2 linked regions of the Drosophila melanogaster genome follow. The protein of the gene in region 1 interacts with the protein of each later gene in a pairwise test. Each region holds a gene or a part of one and is shown on either strand. Other genes may lie near its edges.

Region 1 (4,855 bases):
TGTATTATAATTTATTATCTATTAAATGTCACTACCCATCCACTTAAGTTACTGTAATCATTTTTGTTGTTTTGACAAATAAATTCCAGTTAAATAGGAAAAAACTAAGCCCTGATTTACTTGCACTCATTTGCAATTAGTTCAGACTCAGTGTGATGGCTTGTCTATTATAGAGACTCCTATAAATAATAATCAGTTCTAGAAATTATTTATATTTATGTTCGTAAAAAACCACAACGATTTAGATTATTTAAATGTAAAAGCTATTAATATTAACAGTTTGCGTTCTCCTGACCAGTCATAAGCGAAGCAAATGTAACTGACATTTGTTACCGTTTATTGTTTGTCACGAACTCAGTTAGATTCACTTCTCTGTTTCAGAGCTGATTTGCGATTGGTCGTTGCTTGGCGGTGTGTCCATGTCGTATACGTAATGTGAAACGGATTAGCTCGTTAAGATCAGATTGGAACCAGCTGTTGAGCAGAAACGGCAGTCACGTTTATAGCTCTCTAGCCCAGCTAGATCGCAAATTAATCCATTATCAGTCACTTTTCTTATCAGCCCAGACAACAACAGACCAACTGACATCGCATCAATTGAGACAGATCCTCCCCCTGTTGAACGATTTCATTATTTCTGAACTTAGTACACACTCAGCTTGTCATGCATATCACCAAGTGTCTATTCAGATTTTCCCACTCCCGGGCGCTCCATTGGGCTTCGCAGAAACTAAATCAGTATGCGATTAGGAGGTGCATCAGTCACCGAAGGCTCAGGTGAGGCGAGATAGTCTGACACTGATAAAGGGCCCGTCCTGCTATGGCACGTTCGTTTTAGCCAGATAGAGCGATAGACGGCGAGCCTTCTGAATCACCTGATGCTGTCTCATCCCCAGAAACTACTCACACTGCACAAAAGTCAGACTTTTCAAGAACAATTTCGATATTACACTCATTCCTTTGCATTGATTTTAAATAATACGTCATTTCCATAATACGACGTTTTGAATAAGTGGACTCATTTGACCGGAAATGGGAAATATACTCACTTCATACTTTTAATAATAATGCGTTCATTCAAGTAGTAACCAACGTCAAGTTCTAATTACGAGAACATATCTTCTTTTGCAATTGAGTCCAATCCAACTCATACGAACTTGAATTCATTATAAAATACGCTGTGATGTATGTAAAAAAATAAATTAGTAATGACTACACTACTACAAATTCTTTCATTGTAAATGTTTTAATTTACAATTCCTTAAATATGAATAAATTTTCTAAACAAAACTAGTTTTAGATAACATAGTATTTATTTGCTTTAGAGCCAATTTCCTGCCTATCTCAATAATGAATAATCTTTCTTCCAAATCAAAAATTATTTATAATCGTTTTTGGCAACAATCATAAGTTAGTGAGGGTCTTAAATACCACGTCAATTCATTTCAGGGTGATTCTATCTTATCGCCCTATTTTCGAGATTTCAGAAGAGCGAGGCTTTAGAAAATCAGGCTAAAGTATTTACGGTTTCCTTTTCACCACGGCAAAATGAACAAAATTTTCCATATTGGAATATAATGAGACCCTAGTGCTTCGCCAATTGTATAATTCTCTCTACTGCCCAATAATTTTCTCAATCAATCAATGCAAATGTGACAGAGTTTACGCATCAATAAATCTTATTTATTTGCGTTCTCAACTAAAAAGGCAAACAGAAAACACGATTTTAGCCAATTTTCAGCTGTGCTTCAGCTTCTTTCCCCCAAAGGGAACACTTGGTAACTCTGTTCCGGGCGGATCTTTGCGAAAATCTTATTTAAATTTAAATCTCCGGCACTTGGATCGAGGCAGTCGGATCGTTGCCTTCAAACGATCAACATCGCAGGGGCTTTATGGCGATAAAGCAGCGCTTTTGATTAGGAACGAGAGTGTATATAGTCCGCGTTCACATCTATATACATATAGTAATCTGGTGCACAAAACAATACAGATAGTGAGCGAGTTATAAAAACTCGTAGTCAGCTCAGCAAATTGCCAATAATAAAAGTGAGTGAAATGCGAAAACAAACTACAAATTAATTTGAAACTGAAAAAGTACCTTTACAAGTAATTGTAATTTGGTTTGTAACTCTCGACTGAAAAATACAACGCGAGCTGAATATACAAAAGCAATTAAATTATAATTTTCAATACAAATTGCTGTGGTTGCTGTCGTTTTCCCTCATATCTGCTGATATTTTCCCTGAGCTTTTTTTATCGCGTTGAAAACGTGAATTCTCGTTATTTTTACCACAGATCAGCGACTTGCGGTGTCAGTGATCTGTGGTCCCTGGGTATTTAGAATTTAAATGGACTTGCGGACAGAAATCCCACACCGAATAGTATATAAACTGCTGTCTAGTGTCAACGCTTCAAGTCTCGTTTTTGCACTGCCAAAAACCACTTTTTTTTTTATTCCAATATGAATTGCAGCTAATTTGAACTGTGAATTTCATTAGGAATCGAGTGAATAGCTGAAAGTAGCTGATCCAGCCCGACTGGAAGATGTACACTTTCTGTTGCTAAACCTATTTAATCTTATCAATATCAATATCAATTTCATTATATTCTTTCTAAGAAAGTTTCTAAGTTCTTTCTATATGTGCACTTCAAGCTGCTGACTTCAACGAGGCAATCAGTTTTTTTTTTTTATCAGTATCCCTGAACTTGTCCAAAAACAAGTTAAGTGCACTTAACTATATAGAGGTGAAATGATTCTTAAAACTGAAGAGCCTTGAATGCCGCTGTATTTCAAGTGAAATTCCATCAGAAGATTACTTCAAGATCTATTTTCAATATCAATGCAATAAACAATGCCCATGATAACGAATATTTGAGTTATCTTCGAGATTAAGTTCAATGCTTTCCAGTTTTATGAGCAATCGATAAACCTTTATTGTCCACTTGAAGATTGAAGATTAAGGCTCCAGTGGTTCATAATGTTACTAGGTCAAATTTTCCCCTTTATTTAATTAAGATTAAAACGCAGTACTTAAGCCACTCAATATGAATCCTTGTATTGCAAATCATTTTATTTAATTTGTTTAACTTAATTACTAATTATTTCCCTCACGCATGAACGTTTCGTTTGCAGCTAACTGCAAACCTTTTTACGATTCAATAACCTTTCGAAGGCCTTTCGATCGGCATTTGAACGGCTAATCAAAGCAAAAACGCACAGTATCTAAAACAAGTTAATTCAACCTGATGCAAGTTAATTCTTAATGACATTACCTGTTTTTGTGTGTCTTGTGTGTTTCTTCGTTTTCCTCGCGGACTTTTCAACATGTCATTCCAAACCCATCAGGCATTTGTTAGAATTTTCGACTAAGCCAACAAACCGTGCTTTATAATGGCTAGTTGAGTGATTAAATTAATCGGCAATTATACGAACGCGTTGAATGGCCCACATAACGATTAAAATCGTCCTTGAATGATTTTGGCAAAGTTTTGTTTTTCAAGCCCAGTTCAAAGATCTGAATTAACTGACTTTTGGCTATTGTATTCAAACAAAAACGTCATGCGAGGCACTTATCACTGCCATCGATGACGACAATGAAATTTTATAATACACATCTATATAAACAAATCATAAAGTCACTGGCAAACATAATAGCCCAACTAAATGGTGAGAGTGCGAATAAGCATTCAGAAAAGTTAATGATTTCGTTCACGCACCTTAAATTGTTGTTTAAACAATAGTTGCTTCATGATCGGGCTGCATTTTTATGATTTATATGGAATTTAAGACGGAATTGTGTGATTTTTGAGTAATGCGGAATCGGAAGTCCACGTAGGGGGGAATTCAAAATTCGAAAAGTTGTTAATACAATAATGTTTTCCAATGCCTGACACGTAGGGCCAGCTGTAGCGCCTGCTATTTGTCATCCATGGTTATCTGAAATGTTTTTCGAAAAGAGCCATAAATCAAATATTGGTTGAGTACGCCGAGCGGAACAAGAAAGTAAATATCTACAAAAAACTCAATGGAGTGTGTCTGGAAGTGTAGTAAGTGTTATAAGTCTATGATCCCAACTTGCAAATGCCGAATATGACTTCGCTAATGGAATCATAAATACTAACCACTTGTGACGTATGTATTAGATCAATGATTTAGTTGCACCTGCTAGTTGCTGTCGTCACAGAAAGATTGAAACAATGAACTTCTCTCTTTGTGGTTCTCATTACCGTGCGGCTCAATTTAAATTGCACAATTGTTTCGCCTATTTGAGTTCCCTTTGTTTTCTGATGCCCCATAGGGTTATATCATCGTAGTGCGATAATTCATCATACACTTAATGTTCCATAAAATACATTTGTACATTTCGTGTGCAATATGGTGGCCTTAGCCGTTCGAGTTTGAGTTCTACTGGCTTCCGATAATGGCTCTCCAAGCTGCGCTTAAGTTTTCCAATCCCATCACATAATCCCCTTTTTGCGACTCAAATTTCCAAATATGACGTATCTGTATATCCATACATTCGTTAATCTCTCGAAAGCAATCCTTATTCAGCGAATCAGTTCAATGAAGACTCGTTATGTCGGTCCACAGAGTGGCATTCGTGCAAAACGTCGCAATTCCGGTCCAGAATTTGGGGCCAGACGACACACGTGTCACTAACACACAACCCACTCTAATTATAGACTTGAAAATGTATCAGCTTGATTAGTTTGGATATAAATAAAATGTCAGGCGAATGTCACCATTCTTCGGTGACCTCAAATCGGGTACAGCGCGATTAAACCGCACTGCAATGCAAATCGCTCAGATATCGGGCTATACTCATTAAATTTCTGGATAACTGGTTAGTTTCCA
Region 2 (4,655 bases), on another chromosome or scaffold:
TGAAGTGTTCTGTGTGCCGGCGCAGCTTTGCCCACCAGATCACCCTAGCAGCGCACATCCGTAAGGTGCACGAGGGCAGCAAAAGGCCCTTCCAATGCGATCAGTGCGAGAAGGCCTACAGTTTCATGGGCGGTCTGTATACCCACATTCGAGAGGTGCATGCCCCCAAGGAGCGACGCCATCCCTGCGACCAGCCAGGCTGCGAGAGAATCTACACCAGCCGCATAGCCATGCAGAAGCACAAAAGGCTGAAGCACAGTCCGCGTGACCGCGATGCTTTGAAGAAATTCATCTGCGAGCAGTGCGGAGCCAGCTTTAACCAGTCGGCGAATCTTAAATACCACCTTAAGACAAAGCATCCCACGGAGGACGAGGTGGCCGCCAGGGAGGGCGGCGCCGGAGAGCGCCATTTCTGCGACATTTGTCAAAAGGAGTTCCATTCACGATACACCCTCAAGTACCACACTTTGCAGCAGCACGAGGTGCAGGAAGAGTTGCCCCACGAATGCCAGGTCTGTGGACGCCGGATGGCCAAGAAGTTCATGCTGCTGCAGCACATGCTGATGCACTCGAACGACAAGTTGCCCTGCGAGCACTGCGGCAGAAGATTTGCCAGGCGATTCGAGCTCGAAGCCCATGTGAGAGCAGTCCACTTAAAGCTGAAACCCTTTCCCTGTCACCACTGTCCGGAGAGCTTTGCTTCTAGGAAAACCCTGCGGCACCATGAGTACATACACACGGGTGAGAAGCCCTACATTTGCGACACCTGTGGACAGGCCTTCCGGCAGCAGACGTGTCTTAAAAACCACCGGAAGGTGCACGAGAAGTAGTCTTAGCTAGCCTTAGTGGAAAAGATTTTAAAATAGACTGATTAAGTGGAAACGTGGCGTCTTTTGAATGTTCTGGAACAGGTAACGCTCTTCGTAGGACATGAAGGTGCTATGCCAACAACCCTTTCCTCAACAAACAGCAGGCATTCACTTAAATAGCTTTAGTCACCAATAACTTGTCTAGTACACAGTGTTATGCAGATTCCGGTGGCTTTGCGGTGGGATCCACCTGTGTGCTGTGTTGCTCCTGTTCGATGTAGACGCGCAAGTCCTCCAGAGGCTTATAGTAAAGGTGAACAGCCTGCGATCCGGCCATCATGGATGCCAGGGCACAGCCGAGGAATTTCAGGTACTGGCCCCAGGAAACTCCGGCGGGCATTTTGCTTAGTTGGTGTTATTCGCGGCTCGCGCCTGCAGATGCTGCTGCTCTTCCACGTAGTTCTTCGCCTGGCGGCGCTTAAAAGTGCGGTCTGCATGGAAAAGATTCCGTATTAGTAAATAAAAGTAAGGTTTTAAGCGTAGCAGTCTCACAGAAATTGGTCTCGCCCACTGTCCAATTGATCATGGAGAATTCCAGGCCGGCGCCCAGTAAAAAGAAGAGCGGCAGGAAGCGGTAGACACCGAAGCGCTTCTTTCCTGGCCAACTGTCCAGCAGACGACGCACGGATCCGCTGTACGGACTCATGTGTTTTCAGCCGGCGGTTATATAATTCCGTGTTGGTTTCGCCAATTTTAAGGCGAGATTCAAAGGTGCCGTGTTTGTGTATTGCCTCCGTCACATGTGTGCGTTAGTTCTGTATATGGTTTAATTGAAAATGTTTAGGCTTGTTCCTTTGTTTATTTATTATTTGCCAAAAGTAAAGGGGAAACTCCACTTGCCTCACGATACAATTTCCATTTGTTCCGGTTCGCAGCAATCAGCTGTTCGATTAGAGATGAGCGAGTGAGCTAGTGATGAGCTGATGTGATGACAACACAACGTTAGTAAATAAATTCATAAGTTAACTATGTATAAGGCCCCTTAAATAAATGTTCGTTTATTTCAGCCTATCTTAATTTCAATTTAATGAAATTATTTAACAGTTACTGAAGCGCTTCGGGAGCATGGTAGTAGAACACCTTCACGCTGTCATCGCTAATGATTCATCCCTGAAAAAAAAACATAGCTTAAACTAGCAAGCAATTTAGGTCGAATTATGATACACAGTCTGTTTATTGTAAACAGCGGCGGGTAAGCCATACCTATAAGTGAAATGTGAAGACGATGTAATACCCATATACCCATATATCCGCATTTCAGCGAGGTCTTCCTGGAAAAGCATTGGCGCTCGGTTGTCTCGAGATCTGTGTGCGAATACTTCCTTGACGCCCAGCGCGCTGCTCCATATGTGAGTCGCCCGTGCCACGTATGGGTTGTATGCTGACCATATCTCTTTGTTGCAGGATGTGCCGCCGGTGATAGCCACGCCCCACTACTACCTGATTACAGTGCAAAGGGACACGGTGTCTTTGGTCGCCGCCTGCAAGCAGGAGGTGCCGCCGCTCTTTGTCATCGAGTTCCTGCATCGCGTGGTGGACACCTTCCAGGACTATTTCGGCGACTGCTCCGAGTCCGTGATCAAGGACAACTATGTGGTCGTTTACGAGCTGCTGGACGAGATGCTCGATAATGGCTTCCCACTGGCCACCGAGAGCAACATCCTCAAGGAGCTGATCAAGCCGCCCAATATCCTGCGCACCATTGCCAACACGGTGACGGGCAAGAGCAAGTAAGTTGAATGATGCTCCCTCCGTCTTTGTCTTTCATTTACCTTAATAATCCAATTAATAATCCGATTTCCGAAGTGTAAGCACTACTTTGCCCTCGGGTCAGCTGTCGGCGGTTCGCTGGCGCAGAAGCGGCGTGAGGTACACCAACAACGAGGCGTACTTCGATGTCATCGAGGAGGTGGACGCTATCATTGATAAATCCGGATCCACGGTCTTTGCCGAGATCCAGGGACACGTAAGTTTCACTTAAGTCTATAAAAATAATTTCTATCTCTTTTATTTTTTTATCAGATCGACTGCTGCATTAAGTTATCCGGCATGCCAGATCTGACGTTATCTTTCATGAATCCTCGCCTCTTCGACGACGTTTCCTTCCATCCTTGCGTGCGCTACAAGCGCTGGGAGGCGGAGCGCCTGCTCTCCTTTATCCCGCCCGACGGAAACTTCCGCCTGATGTCATATCACATTAGCTCTCAGTCCGTGGTGGCCATACCCATCTACATCAGGCACAACTTTTCGATCAAAACGGGTGAGCAGGGGCGTCTGGACCTCACGATTGGCCCGAGGAACACCCTTGGTCGCACCGTTGACAAGGTGAAGCTGGAGCTGACCATGCCGCGGTGTGTGCTTAATTGCCTATTGACGCCGAATCAGGGAAAGTATACCTTCGATTCGGTGACCAAGACGCTGTCCTGGGATGTGGGACGGATCGATGTTTCCAAGTTGCCAAATATTAGGGGATCGGTAAGAATAACTATTGAGACCCTTTACACTTTTACACGATTCATGTATCTAACGTCTTAAATTATTTATATTTTTATCCCATTAATAATATACTGTCCTTGCACGCCTAGGTTTCCATTACGCCCGGTACGACCAACATCGATGCCAATCCATCCGTGAATGTCCAGTTCCAAATCTCGCAGCTGGCCGTCTCTGGGCTAAAGGTAAATCGCCTGGACATGTACGGCGAGAAGTACAAGCCTTTCAAGGGCGTCAAATACCTGACCAAGGCGGGCAAGTTCCAGGTGCGGATGTAGACAAAATCATCATCCGGATTCCAATTCCAGCTTTAATTAATAGCTAACGTTAAGTGTATTCCGCTTGTTTTTTTTTTTTTCATTTGATGTTCTAGCCCTCGTCTCTCTCCCTGTGTATCTCATTTATGTATCTATATCTCTACCCATAAAATATTAACTTCAAGTGTAGTCGCCTTGTCGTTGTTCTTGGACGCCGTCGCCATATTCGAAGAGTAAGAATGCGAGAATTGATTGGGAATGAAGTTGCAAGTCTTCGAGTGGCGTGGCTTGGCATGGCATCGCATGGCAATGGCACCGTCGACTGCACTGCACTCCAAGTCAAGTCACTCCACTCGATCGCAGTGCGCCTGGCAACAGCCAGCGAGGAAACCAATAAATTCAAATGAAAATGCAAAACTTGATTTTGCAGCCAGGCCAACGCATTTAGCATACGAATAGTGTGTATACATCTTGTTTATCAATGTGTGTGAACAATGCGAAGAAGTAGAGACTCGCTAACGTACATTTCTAGGCAAGAGTGCTGAAAAGTGAAAGACTGATCAAATTATCGAGTTGTGACATTACACTATACCCCACGCATTTTGTTAAGAAGAAACCCAAATTCAATTTCTATTTGACTCTTCAATGAGTTTTTCGTTAAATCCCTATTAGAATCAGTTTTTTTTTAATGCAATTAACAAGCACACGAGGTTTCACTGTGTTGCCTCGTTATCTCCTTCTACAAGCTTAGCTGCATTTTTGCCTCTGGCCGAGACCGGTAACCGGTTTGCCCTGCCACGCCCCCGATGCATGCCTTGGACCGCCCCCCTTGACCCATGGCAGCCGCAAGCAGCAACAGCTTCTAGGCTTTTGGGCGCGGCGTGCAACGGTAGCCAACAAGCGCCACCGAAAGGCGACGTCGACCATGGCTAGACATGTTATACACACACACACACACACACAGAGAGAGCCAGCTCTTGAACGGGCACAAAATGTTTGGGGCTCGGACCCCAAACGGGTTGAGAAAATAACTCAG

The links. The genes of interacting proteins can lie anywhere in the genome.
Region 2: the proteins of Treh (region 1) and cm interact in a two-hybrid assay, tested with the Drosophila melanogaster proteins (one large-scale study listed by BioGRID).

What each region holds. Positions count from the first base shown.
Region 1 is NT_033778.4:21,078,766-21,083,620, forward strand, and holds the start of Treh (trehalase), read left to right. Parts: upstream 1-1,842; 5' UTR 1,843-2,106; intron 2,107-4,855. UniProt on the Drosophila melanogaster protein: Enzyme that cleaves trehalose to produce 2 glucose molecules that can be used by the glycolytic pathway.
Region 2 is NC_004354.4:7,008,463-7,013,117, reverse strand, and holds cm (carmine), read left to right. Parts: upstream 1-1,972; 5' UTR 1,973-2,026; coding exon 2,027-2,061; intron 2,062-2,130; coding exon 2,131-2,218; intron 2,219-2,273; coding exon 2,274-2,599; intron 2,600-2,675; coding exon 2,676-2,835; intron 2,836-2,891; coding exon 2,892-3,344; intron 3,345-3,454; coding exon 3,455-3,640; 3' UTR 3,641-4,112; downstream 4,113-4,655. Other genes in the region: CG3032 (uncharacterized protein), read left to right, coding at 1-830; sloth2 (sloth 2), read right to left, coding at 1,024-1,209; sloth1 (sloth 1), read right to left, coding at 1,215-1,300, 1,362-1,515.